Linked DNA regions of Lytechinus pictus. Each later gene encodes a partner of the first gene's protein in a complex. Links are inferred from orthologs where the notes say so. Each region holds a gene or a part of one and is shown on either strand. Other genes may lie near its edges.

Region 1 (7,202 bases):
CATCTTTCCTTTTCATCTGATGAGGCAATAATCCCTTCAGTGAATTAAGCAACAAACTAAAAAAGGATATATAATGCCTCATCTACCAAACAGTCACATTAAATGTTGACAATATAGTAAAATGTTGCAAGGTTTGACTTAAAAAAAAAAGAGTTAACCTGCTAAGCCCCTTAACTTACCAGAATGAAATGTAAAGAGTGACTTGAAATTAACATTTGTATCTTAATTGAATATATATTGGGCAGCGACAAATAAAAAAAGGGGTAAGGTAAATATTTTGCATAGGTCATGTTTCTATATAGCATCAAAGTGCATTGAGCAAATGTGTCAATATAATAAAGTTTTATCATTAATATGTCATTGCTTTTCAATTCTGAAAAAGGCAAAACAGCATAAGAACTGAACTATCATCCTTAATATCCATATTCTTTTTTCTTTGGGGGGGGGGGGTGTGGTGATTGTGCATGAAGTCTCAACTAAACAAAACAAAAACAGTTCAAAAATTGGCTTGAATATGAAATTTCTGTTACATTTAGAAAATAAATACCCATGGACCTTTCGCCTACTGTACAAAACTGTTAGAAAAGAATTATAACAATAAAGACGAAGGTGTTATTGTTTATAAAAGTGGAATCGTTTGAGAGACCATTCACATCATTCATTCAATATGTTCGATACAATTTAGAACATGACTGCACAAGAAATATTTAGAGACCATTTTTTTTTTGGGGGGGGGGGGTTCATATTTGCTTCAAAGCGAATACCCTGGCAGCAAACAACAATATGACAAGAAGTGAACCTATCATCCACACATAAAATAAATGAGCAACTGAGAAGCTCCGAGTCTTCTGACCTCAGTGAAACAAAATTGCCTTGTTTAGTGGTTGTTGTTGTTTCTTCAAGTTGAATTCTTTTGCAAAGGAAGTCTCCAATCAATATGTAAGATTGTCACCCATATTGACTTTGGCCAATGTCTAGGTGGTACTGAACTTCTTATTATTTTTAAAAATTGAATAACACCATCACCTTCAATATCTAATTGATAAAAAATGTGTGTTATAATAATTAATATGGTCACCCATATCAGATAGCATCTAGCTTACTTTACTTTACTCAAAGGGAAGTTCACCCTGAAAAAAAGAACTTTGTTATAAAAACAGCAGAAAAAAAAAATGAATATTGGTCTGAGATATCCATTTAAAATGACAACTCATTGATGATATGTAGGAAAGCTGCTTGCATATGACGTCACAAAAGACACAAATCAAATAGGCCTAGATCTAAGTTGTTTATTCTTTGTTGGTTTTTCCTCAAACCTTCACCAATATTATCCTGATTTGTTTTTTATCAAAATTCGCTATTTTCCAGCATATTTTTCGGAAAGGAGGTAAGCTGATTCATTGTATTTAATATAAATTTATCTTTAATCATTTCTTCCTTTTTTCCCCCATCAAAAAGCAAAATTTAGGAGTAATACAGGAGGGTGCAAAATCGCACCCTTTTCTCCATTAAAGCTGTAATTAAGGCATCAGTGGAGCTCCACCATTACTACGGCCAAATGGCCGTCATCCGTCAAAAAAATCAGAAAATGTTGAAAAACTCCTCCGAAACAGCGGATCTAGTATGGCAGTGAGTCCAAACATCGCGGACGGTCATTACCTAAAAAACTAGCCAATATCCTTAAAATCTGACATCATCAACGTGAAAAGCGACCTAAAATTACCCTTCGGTGTAAGTTTCTTTAGGATGAGTTCAGTATTCATGAAAATATTGGCAAAAGATCGGCAAATTTGTCACCGTTAGCGCCCGTTTTGAAGAAATCTGATATTCTCAACAAGCATCACGATATCACCATTTTGCAAGCAGAAATCATCAAAAGTGTGAGTTAAATGTGGTACTAACCGATTCTATGGCATTTTGCCATCAATCTGATATAAATATGTCACTTTTTGAGCTTGAGTTTTTTTTTTAATTTCCACAAAAACTTTGGTCCGCGAAATAAGGTCACACTTTTTCTGAACGGTTTTCCAGCACAGCGCACATTCGCCGATCGGAATATAAATTTGAGATCGCGATACCGGCGAAACCCCTTGACCTACTTTACATTTTCGTCCATGATTTTATAGTTTACGATCTTGCTGTCAATGTGGTAACTATTTCTTGAATTGGTTTTGTATAAATTATGAATATTTTGTGGAAAAATTTTTGTGCCTGATGAATATTTTTGAAAAAGGGCGCGAAGTTTGGACACCCCATCAACATATGTTATAACTAACTGGTTAGGAATAGTACTAAGACTAGAGTAGACTCAAAAGACAAGTAAAGATTAAAAAGAACAAGGTGAAGGTCGGGATACCTAATTCATAAACAGTCAATAATGATGCTCCAACAAGCATTCCCCCCGTGATGCGCATTGCCCACTTCTGGATGCGTGCCGTTCTCTTTTTTCGCTCCTCCTTCTTCTTCCGGTCATCCTCTGTTTCTCGTTTCGCCTTCTCCTCGGCCTCGCGGAGCATTGCCACCAATGGCATCGCACTTTCCGTCGGCTGATTAGGCTGTTTTTCCTCATTTCTGAGCAATGTAGTCACTGATAATGGGCGAACTAATAGCCTGGCATGATTATTTGAAGACGGTAAAGTTCTACAGTTAGTGCTATGATCCGCAGTCCTTGTTCTTGCTGCATTCGTACCCAAAAATCGTAACCATTGCCTCACGCACGTTCCACTGAGCGCTGCCATTTTGTCAACTTCATATTAACTCAACATAAGAGGGCGACATGACAAAGCGATCTTGTGTAACCAAAATTTATGCGCGATGCGGCCGATGTCGACGCTGTCAGCTGATAACTTCTGAAAAGGCAAGTACAAGATCTAGATCTAAATAATTTATATTTCTACCAATCGAATAGGAACATAATATGGATTCTTAAATATATCACAATCATGTTATGATTTCAATCTACGGTAAGTAGTATTGGTCCCATCGGATCTTCCAAGTTGCCATACCAATTTCACATTTTGTTCGGTCCCACATATTGATATTCTTGTGACCAGTAAGTAAGGCGGAGAGAGAGAAGGGGGGGGGGGGGCTACCTCACTTATTAAATGGACGGATGATGTAACATTCATTTATTTGTTATTCCTAATTCTGCCAACAATATGGCTTTTAGGAGAGGCTTTTACTCTCAGCTGCCATATCCACAAGATCAAGTGCAACCACTGCAAGTCCATGATATTTTGTCGGTTTTCGACATGGTCGGTCATTGTCAAATAAATAGGCCTATATGTCACAATAATTGTCTTATTGAATAAATTCACCATTGGCATGGCATTGGCATTGCCTGAATTGTTATCAATTTACAACTGAAAAAAATGTATCATGTGCTGGATTCAAACCATGCCAATCATGCAATACAACAATAATGCAGCATAAAGCTTTTACCTGACACCCACTGCTAGTTTAACCACTCAAACATGAGCAATTGACAGCAGAAACTGTTCTAAAATATTTATTATAGAAATTTTCACCATATCACTCTAATGATATCGTAGGTAGGCTTTTTGCCAATTTGTGGATTGCTGGGTATAGTGTGCTTATTCAGCCCTTAATTTGATTCTGTAGAGTACTCCTTTCATGACTTAGTTAGTGGATGGGAATTGGATTCGGCTTATTTTGGTGGAGGACATGGGCACTCACACTAGTGCGAGGTTAGAATTTAGATAGCTAAAATAACCTCGCACACCCGACCATGTTTGGGTTGTCAGACCTGACAACTTTCCTTGATTGTGCTGAGAAGCACTGTTTCTTTGGTAACTGTCGGATGAAATACGACTTAGTAAATAAAGAGGCTTTAATATGAGGTAATAATAATTTGTGAACAAATTTTCGGCATTACTCCTATGTGTTTAAGATGCTCGATCTGTAATGAAAATGGGATAAAACGTCCCACAAGTCCTTTCATGAAACGCTCCCCAGAAATCAGATCCACCTGATATGAGTGCTGCTTTAAGTAGGAGGACTCAATCTCATTTTATCAGGACATGATTTGTCTTAGACTTGGTTAACGAATGATGAATTGAAGATATATTTTTTTTCTATTGCAGAGTCATTCAAGACTTGTTTCTTCTGACTTCTGGTAACTTGAACTTGATGTACTCCTGGTCTGAATAAGATGAAGAACTGAGGTTCCATCTAAAGTTATAAACTAATCTTGATTTATTTTACCCTTTTATTTCAGTTTGTTGCATTTGAGTTCTGAAAGAGAAAGAAAACGTTACCTGCATCATGAATCCACCAAAGAAGAACTTTTTTGTTCGTAACAGGGTACTCTTTGTAGGATTAATAAGTATTTCACTCATTCACGTTGGATGGTTCCACATTGCCAATGATCCTGTCTTCAATAAAGAAGCTGGACACTCAAAGAAGAAAATTTCAGATCGTCTTCCAGCTTATATCAAATCAAAGGCTTTGAAATCACCAGCTGAGAAGTCCAATTAGTCGTAAGTATAGTTCTGTAGTAAGAAAATGTGAAATTTATCCATTTTAAAGTAATGATATATAACAGCAATGCAATATTTTTGGAACCCATTTTCACCATTTAAGATGGATGTATTTCATAAGGAGAAGGGAAGTAGTAATTTTTATTTTAATTTTTTTTTCAATATTTGACAGTTCACTGATAATTTTTTTTCTCATTAATTTTGCTTGGAGGATGTATTTCTTCATTATTATTGTTAAATTAATTTAATATTAATGTAAAGCAATGATATGTAAAAGAATATAATGCATGCAGAGCCCATGTGTTCAGTATTGTATTTTTAGGTTTGACAGTCAGCAAAGGGGAGTGTCCTCCAATTATGAGCTAAATCACACAGTAGGCATCCTGCAATATGCATACCGGTACATACTTTATCGAGTGTCTTGATGATATCCTTTTTAAAAACAGTTGAAAATGTATTGTGACTTTTAATTTAAACTTAATGACAGGAATGTTCGGAAGCTTACTTTGATCCCAGTACCTTTGTCAATTTTGTCCGTGTGAATGTTGAAAAGATAAGCAGAAATTATTCCTTCTTGTAGGGATATATTATAAGACTACACAATCAAGATAAAATCAAGATTTTGCATGGATTAGGACCCAGGAATAATAAAGTACTATCTAACCTTGTTTATCTGAATGCTGCAGGAAACATTTTCCATCCTTGTAGTAAGATGTTGAGCTATAAGAGTAATATAGTAGGACATCAGTTGAATAGATAAAGGAGTTTATTGCTGTATATTATTTTTTTCGTGGGGTTCTGGATGATAACAAAATTACTGCCTATTTGAATTTGTGTCTACAAACTGAAATAATGAAATAATAGAAAATTACTAAGGTTTCTGGGTCTATTCAGGAGAAAGATGTGGCTAGTTATAGAGTTGTCCAAGTGAACAAGGTTGATAGTTAAGGATTTGAGTAGATGCTCTTCAAAGTGACTGCGGACTTTGGCTATAAATGTCTATTTTGGTCTTCTTTTTAAAACAAATTAAAAAAACTGACTGATGTTCATGTATACTTCTTGTCTTTTGTTTTTTGCAGATCACTGGAGTACCAATACCTGTGCAATCAGTGGAGAATTTAGGACATACCAAAAACTTTTGAAATTTAATATCTCCGAAGGACATATTATTACCATGGGTCTCAAAAAGATTATAATGGAACACAAGTTCATGAGTGTTGGAATTGCTTTGGTCACGACCCACCTTTTGATCTACAATGTTCAGAAGATAGCAAAAACTTCAGCTAGGATTGAGGATAGAAAAGAACACGATACTGTACTTGTTATTGGGAAAGATGAGAAGTAAATCATCTAGCTGATCAAGGTAAAATTTTATTGCAATCAATTTCTATGTTTTGTGGAAAGATATTTTTTGTCTCACCTGCATAGCAGAGTGAGACTATAGGCGCCGCTTTTCCGACGGCGACGGCGGCGGCGGCGACGGCGGCGTCAACATCAAATCTTAACCTGAGGTTAAGTTTTTGAAATGACAGCATAACTTAGAAAGTATATGGACCTAGTTCATGAAACTTGGCCATAAGGTTAATCAAGTATTACTGAACATCCTGCCTGAGTTTCATGTCACATGACCAAGGTCAAAGGTCATTTAGGGTCAATGAACTTAGACCATGTTGGGGGAATCAACATCAAAATCTTAACCTAAGGTTAAGTTTTTGAAATGTCATCATAACTTAGAAAATATATGGACCTAGTTCATGAAACTTATACATAAGGTTAATCAAGTATCACTGAACATCCTGCATGAGTTTCACATCACATGACCAAGGTCAAAGGTCATTTAGGGTCAATGAACTTTGGCCGAATTGGGGGTATCTGTTGAATTACCATCATAACTTTGAAAGTTTATGGATCTGATTCATGAAACTTGGACATAATAGTAATCAAGTATTACTGAACATCCTGTGCAAGTTTCAGGTCACATGATCAAGGTCAAAGGTCATTTAGGGTCAATGAACTTTGGCCAAATTGGGGTATTTGTTGAATTACAGCCATAAATTTGAAAGTGTGTTGGTCTAGTTCATAAAACTTGGACATAATAGTAATCAAGTATCACTGAACATCCTGTGCGAGTTTCAGGTCACATGATCAAGTTCAAAGGTCATGTAAGGTCAAAGAACTTTGGCCACGTTGGGGGTATTTGTTGAATTGCCATCATATCTCTATAAGTGTATTGGTCTAGTTCATAAAACGTGGAAATAAGAGTAACCAAGTATCACTGAACATCTTGTGCGAGTTATAGTAGTTTTCAAAATCAGCACTGCTGCTATATTGAATCGCGTGATGCAGGTGAGACGGCCAGAGGCATTCCACTTGTTTCTTTTTTGAGTTCTATAAAGATATTATGAAATTGTACTTACTATTGGGCAAATCAGCTATCAAAATGTAGAAATTATATCTGTTGCTGTTTATTTTGATATATCAGTCAGTGTTCACATTCTAATCCTAATTTCAGGTGATTTGATTTATTTGGAAAATAAGACTAACTGTCTCAGCTTCCTACATTGAATTTATTTTACATTCAAAGGATGACAATGATATCATGTTGAAGATGGCTGCCAACTAGTTAAATGAGTGCAGATCTTGTATCAGAGTTAGCCTTGAATTAAGAAGTGTTTTATTTTATTTTTCCAGATGTGTGCTGCA
Region 2 (7,317 bases), on another chromosome or scaffold:
ATCGATGACAGATCACATTCTGATCTGGAAACTTCTATCGTAAAGGATCATTAATGGAAAATGATAACAGAAGCATTATTTTCTTTACTACAAATATATTTAAAGAGCTAGATAAAAAGCTAAAAATCACATGAGAAAACTTCAACACTATCAAATGCAAAGAGGTAAAAAAAGTTGAGCTAAAATCACAATTAGGTCTACATCTATGTCCATGATTCGAGACAAGACACCCTCATCCGGTTGCTGACCAAGATTTGATGAGAACCACCACAGAGGCAAACACAAATTAGTGTTACAGACTTTAAAAATTTGAAATAATTTCAGGGCAAGGCCAATTTCCACATTTTTGTATGATCACACAAATGTGGAATGAAAAAAGGCCAATGAGAGAGGAATCAAGGCCAGTCAAGAGGGCACCCATGACCATGGCCTTAGAATAACAAGCCTGGGTGTTATATTTTAAGGTATATCATAAAGAGATTTGTCTTGTTATTCATACATTTTTCCAGCAATAAGATGGAAAAAGGGGTTGCTTCAATATGAAATTTTGGACCTAATGTTCAATTCTATTTAAAATTTATGATCAGACAAAAATTTGAATATTTATTCCTGCCTGTCCTTTCCACTCCGGTGCTCAAAATAAAATGAAATCTAATAAAGGTATAGTGAAAGCATGTAAATACATCCCAAATAGATGTGAAAGATGGAAAAGTTGTGAAAGATGGAAAATAAGTATTGTGTAAATCAAATACAAGACAAACAATTAGGATGATTTCTTTTTCTCAATGTATATTCATAGTCCCAGCGATGCAATTTTATAGTAATTTGTAAATTCACAAAAAAATATTATAATGCAATAATTTTACAAATTTTTCACCAATTTTTTTCCTTTCTGAGAACCAATCAAAATATTTTATACAATGTTTTTTTTACTACAACCTGAAGAAACAGGAATTGGAGAGTAACCCAAAATCAATACACATTTTAATTTTTAAGACACATCTGAGGGTTGATAGGCCTATCCCTTCCCTTTTTAGAATCAACTAACTATTAATGTATATTGCCAATTCAAGATGAGCACAGACTTGGTGATCTTTTTTTATAATATTCAAGTACTATATCCGTTGGACTTCTACATGATTATTCATAATTTTGTTCAGCAACCTGCTTTTTCTCATATTTCTGCTTGAACCTCAGATTTCATTTTACTACCAGGTTTGGATAAATTACCTGCCTCACACAATATGGCCTAGTAGGGGTGAATTGTCGATATGGACTCTGCCATTTATCCACTGAAGGCCTCGTACTGCATAATGTGCACCTCTGTATCACTCTGTATGACAGTGAGGTCAAGATGTATTGCGTCCCTCTGATACTCAATTCATTCAACATCTTCAATCTGTGCTTTGCTCATTTGACTCCTGTGGCAAAATAAGAATAGGCTAATGGTTTTAAATAATATAATGGAAAAATATAAAATGCAATTTGACCATCTAGCTCAAAACTGTATGATGGGGGGACCTAAAGTTACGCACTTTGTTTACAAATGATAAAAACTTTGCTCATCTTAATATTTGGACAAATAATCTTTCACTTATTTGTGGTCAATATTATAGAGATCCTTAACCAAGAAAAACTCACTAAATACGAAAATCCCGCCTTGTTTTTCGAATGGAGAAGGGGTCCTAAAGCTACGCACTTGATTTATCATGCAAAGAAATAATATTTCCTGTGCCGAAATTTCTAAAATATGTTCCTATTATTATAGGAAAATACAAAATTAAAGTGAATACTGAATATAACTCTAAAATTCCAAACAGTTGCTGGATTCCTCTGCATTTAGTGATATATTGCACCCTCTCTGTAGAAAAAATTGAATAGGAAATGTTTGTCACTGGGGTAGATTGGGGTCTCAATAGTAATCTTAATAAAATGTGGAAACAGAAATTATGCACTTACTACGATTATATGGATGAATGTCTATCGTGACACACAAATCCCAGGCCCAGGACACACAATCCCGGACACAAAATCCCGGGCCCAGGCCCACTTCGCGGGCCGGAGCTCCCTTTACTCTTCGGGACTTTAGTCAGACTTAGTATTCAGGGATGAATCAAACTTTGTTTCCAACAATAAAGAAAAAAAAACAAGAGTAGTATTTTTAAATGATTATTCTCTCATAGAATAAAATACCCCCCCAAAAAAAAAAAATAATGTGAGTGATGTCATATCGTCACCTATAAAATCTGAAATGAAATGTCAAAAAAAAATTGTATTTGGAATTGGATACAAATTTTCAGCTTCATTTATATTATATGCTTGTCTGATTCTTAAATAATCTTTTTATTCAAATTAGTATAAACTCAAATTTTATGACATAAGTCATAAATCAGAATATATGATCATAGCAATAGAAATACAATGGCCAATACAATCAACTGACAGATAAAATCTTTCCAAATGTGCCGAAGCATGAAGCAGTAGCTGCTAGCTGCTCGAGCCACAAGTGCAACCCGCAGAGTCACATTACCATGCCGAAGCTCCGGCGGCAATAGACATGGCAAAGACGCTGACAACCGCGAGCGCTTGCGACACAAAACAGAACGAATTAAACGTCTTTCAAAACATCGTGGGTCTCACAATTACGGTACCAATCGTGATTCAAATTAATACACAGATATTTTTGCAAATATTTCATCGACTTGGAATGATCAAAATTATAAACATCAATGATATGAGTGAATAAAAAAAGTGCTTACTTTCACTGGAGTTTCCATTTTGTCTACAGCAGACATACCGTATAACCGCCAGAACTCGTACACCTTTTCAATAAAGGTCGCATAAAATGTATTTACGGTGTTTCTGGCTTACATTCTTGGGCTTGCGATGTAGCCGAAATTCTAAGCTTTCCATAGGTGCCGTCCGATTTGGATTTTCTGGGGAAAGTTTCGGGTGGCGCGGCGATCGCCGAAGGCTTCGAGCCTGCCAGAATTCGTACACCTCATGCCAGAATTCGAACACCAGATGGCGCAATACAATTTGCCTGTTGATGATCGCGCGATCATATCCCCCTCGCTCTGTGATAATTAAATGATTGGTTTGTTGTTAATTCATTGTTTATTGACTTAATTCACCTCTTTATCTATTTCCATGTAGTTATTTTTTAATTTCTTCAACTATTTATACATTAAATCATAAATTTCATTGTTTGAATGAGTTTCTGCTACATTTAATTTATATTTCAATTTTAGAATAATTTCAGTCATATCACTTACTTTTATTTTGAGTTTTGTGCATATAGATTTTCTAATTTGTTTATTTAGAAAAATGAGAATGGATACATTTATTTGCAATAGCTTTTTTATGTATTCCTCTCAATTACTATTCTTCTATGACTTATAAAATTATTAATATTGTTATTGATTCATTATCATATTTTTATATCTATTGTCATTTTCATTATTGTCATTCTTAAAATAATATTTACTATTATCAATGTTATCAATATCATCACCATCATTGGCATCTTCTTTCATATGGGCCTATATCATTTGTGTTATTATTACTTATTATCACATTGGTATAATTTCTCTCTGCCAGTATATGAACTTATTTCATGGAGTAATTCATGTAGGGAATATATTTTGGAGGATATAACCACAATGCATGTCTGTTGTCTCGCTACTTTTATTGAGGCAAGTAGGAGTATTTCAGTTTTTTTTTTTATATTCATATTGAGATTTAACATTATTGATTTATTGATTTCCATATATCACTTACCGGTACTTGATTTCTGTGTTTTATTGCAGGTTTCTTGGTTCATCTAAAGAAGTGCGAAATAGAAGTTTACCACTTACCTTAGCACACTCTGCATGGGCGCTCAATTCCGATTGCATAATAAAATATAACTTACTGATGATATATATATCGATCACTCTTGCCTTATTATCGATTCCTTTATCTCCAAAAACATAACAGAAACTATACAGTAAATACAATAATAACTAAATAAAAAATACATGTAATAGTAAATAAAAAAATGAATAAATAAATACACAAAATTGAAAAAGATCATAAGTAATTTTTATTTGTTTTATCAACTTAAATAAATAAATAAATAAAAATAAAAATGAATAAATGAATTATAAATATAAAAAAATCATAAAATATATTCATAAAGCACTTTTAATGGTTTCATCAACTTCAATAAATTACTTATGAGCATTAATGCATTAATTATAATATAATAACACAAAGACATTTATCATGTCCCAAAATGAGATTTAAAAATTGTTTTTAGTGATCATAGACTGTCAATCATTTTTTTTTAAGAAAGAAAGATGAGACAACCAAATAAAAGTAATTGTTATATCATGCAGGGAATAATTTTGCTTACATATTCGAATAGCATTTTGGTCATAATTTAGCTCTCAACTAAGTAATGTACAGTCCTATATGTAAAAATATGCTTTACGAAAGAATTTATGCGTAGCAGTCTTTAAAAAGTGTGGAGCAAATTGCGATGCGATACCAGGAAAATTATTGCCTGTCATGCATCATTTCAGTAGACATTTTTTTTCCTTGATCACTGCAGCCCTTATTTTTATTCTTGATCCATTCTGTATCTTATACTTATTAATTAAGCAGAATAAATATTTCTACAATGATGAAATGCTGTAATCATAAATGAAACATATTTATTTTGAGACCAATCATTTATGGATTAGCAAAATCAAAATCATAATTGTATCGCTTATATACTATGCAATAAAAAGCACAATGAGTATGAATGATGTAGTCTTTTTCAATTCAAAATCTTTTGCGTTCATCTTTCAATCAGTCTCAGTTGTGAAACAGTGAAAGCATTATTAATCATATGATCACTGTGAAACTGTTCATTAAAAACAAATAAACTTTCCATATTAACAGTAAAAGCATCTTTTTCTACATTTCAAAGTATATGTATAACCGCAGAGAACATTGATGGCTAGGTATAGCCTATCCACAGAAGACATCTTTATGGACTTGGTAGGCCTACAGATCTTCTTGTAAATATGACAATAAATCCACCTCTATAGTATAGGAGAGAAAGAGAGAATATCATGTTATAAAAGTGCAGGAAAGTATACAACGGGGGGGGGGGGGGGGGGGTTCAATGAGTCGTGGCTGTGAAAATAACAATTACCCCCTGATAGAATAAAGGGATAAAATGAGGAAAAAAAGGGAAATAAGAAAAGGAGCTTAAGAGAACATGTATTAGTTGAGTTATTAGTCCTGTAATTTTTAGAAATAGTTAATATTAAAATCTTCATTCCATCAAAATAGGGCATTGTCCATGGCATACAAATTAAAAGTGGTTGCAAGGGGGGGGGGGTGGCATTATGGGGCATTCCCCAGTTGTCCCCTGATAATTTAAAATAAATAAACCTGGAAAAACGTGTTTAGTAAATTGTAATGTGCTTTTGCCAAACTTGGCCCCAAATATATCTTTGAAACCAACCCCCCCCCCCCCCCACTTGCCTCCTAGTCAAAATCTTGGTGCTGCCGTTGCATATTGGATATACTGTTCATACATAGCCTGCATGCCCACAGTGAGCAAAATACCCAGCCTAGAATGTAGAGAAAGAAAAAAATGGATTCGGTCCTGGCCATACCATCACAGAAAAAGGTAAGAATGTTCGAGATAATGATTATAATTTTAATATAAAGTAATGACAAAAGTAATGTCACAATGATAATGATGACAACAATAGCAACATGTAGATGAAATTATATATCAATCATAGTCAAGGTCTCAAGGATCCGTGGGGTGGTTCTCGATATATGACCAAAATTAGATATTGGATCAAAATAATTTAATATTAGGGAGAATCGCCCGATAAAGAAATATTAAAAATGAAAAATAGGGGTATTCTGACCAAAAAGGTCTGTATATGAAGGATAAAAAATCACCCGATCTATACAAAAATAAATAAAAGGAAACGGTTGAAAAATTATAATAAAAAGGAAACCCTCCCACGGGCGTAAATCTGTCCCCAAAGGTAGGGGGACCTGACCCCCCCCCCAAAAAAAAAAGGTTATCACCCAAAATGTAAGGTCTTTTTAACCCCCCAAAAATTAACAACCCCCCCAAAAAAAAATCACCCAAAATATAATGTAAGGTCATTTAAAAAAATGACAAGCAAAGAAAAAAAAGGTTATCACCCAAAATGTAAGGTCTTTTTAACCCCCCCCCCAACAAAAAATTTAACAACCCCCCCCCCCAAAAAAAAAAAGGTTATCACCAAAAGTATAATGTAAGGTCATTTAAAAAAAATGGCAAGCAAAAAAAAAAAGATCACTCAAAATGTAAGGTACTTTTAACAGAAAGATTTGACATGGGCGTAAATCTGTCCCCAAAGGTAGGGGGACCTGACCCCCCCCCCCAAAAAAAAAGTTATCACCCAAAATGTTAGGTCTTTTTAACCCCCCAAAAATTAACAACCCCCCCCAAAAAAAAAAAATCCCCCAAAATATAATGTAAGGTCATTAAAAAAATGACAAGCAAAGAAAAAAAAAGGTTATCACCCAAAATGTAAGGCCTTTTTAACCCCCCCCCAAAAAAAAAATTAACAACCCCCCCCCCAAAAAAAAAGGTCATCACCAAAAGTATAATGTAAGGTTATTTAAAAAAAAATGGCAAGCAAAAAAAAAGTGTTATCACCCAAAATGTAATGTTATTTTAACAGAAAAATTTTACAAGCAAAAAAAAGGGGGGGTTCACCCAAAATGTAAGGTCATTTTAAATCCTTAGTATTTGCCACCCCCCCCCAAAAAAAAAGACTAAATAAATAATAAAATATGTGTATTATAATGGGCAAATTAACACACAAGAAAAAAGCATTTGGTCAAAAAATAAAAGAAAACAAATTGATATCAAAAGAAAAGAGATCATAATTAATGCTTGATAAAGACTAGTCTACCATTAATTAATTACGTGTTGAAGTGCAAATATCAATAAATCGGGGTGTTCGAGTTCTGGCATGAAAAAATTGTCATGTTGGTGTCATCTTTTTCCCCTTCTGAAACGAAAATTATCCGTAATTACGAGATGCCCTGACGAACACCGAGCCGACGTAAGAAGCACTTTCGGAATATTGTATATTTTTTGGTCAACTTCTTCCAATTTTATTAAAAAAGGTGAAATTTCCGTAAAAATACTGATTACGGGCACCCCGTAGAAAATCGTGAATAAGATCAACCGCTACTCAAATTGTGAAGTAAAAAGACTAGTTTTTGCAAAGTTTAATTATCGTTTTCGATGCTTATCGCGCATGT

What was found.
Region 2: mitochondrial import inner membrane translocase subunit TIM50-like (region 1) and mitochondrial import inner membrane translocase subunit Tim21-like share a complex: the UniProt entries of both Homo sapiens proteins name them as parts of the TIM23 complex. The link is inferred for Lytechinus pictus from reciprocal best matches to the Homo sapiens genes TIMM50 and TIMM21.

Annotation. Positions count from the first base shown.
Region 1 is NC_087251.1:24,158,335-24,165,536, reverse strand, and holds the start of mitochondrial import inner membrane translocase subunit TIM50-like, read right to left. Parts: upstream 3,074-7,202; 5' UTR 2,739-3,073; coding exon 2,357-2,738; intron 1-2,356. Other genes in the region: molecular chaperone MKKS-like, read left to right, coding at 7,191-7,202. UniProt on the Homo sapiens protein: Essential component of the TIM23 complex, a complex that mediates the translocation of transit peptide-containing proteins across the mitochondrial inner membrane. Has some phosphatase activity in vitro; however such activity may not be relevant in vivo.
Region 2 is NC_087246.1:62,745,797-62,753,113, forward strand, and holds the start of mitochondrial import inner membrane translocase subunit Tim21-like, read right to left. Parts: upstream 3,020-7,317; 5' UTR 2,760-3,019; intron 2,119-2,759; 5' UTR 1,960-2,118; intron 1,422-1,959; 5' UTR 1,393-1,421; coding exon 1,231-1,392; intron 35-1,230; coding exon 1-34. UniProt on the Homo sapiens protein: Participates in the translocation of transit peptide-containing proteins across the mitochondrial inner membrane.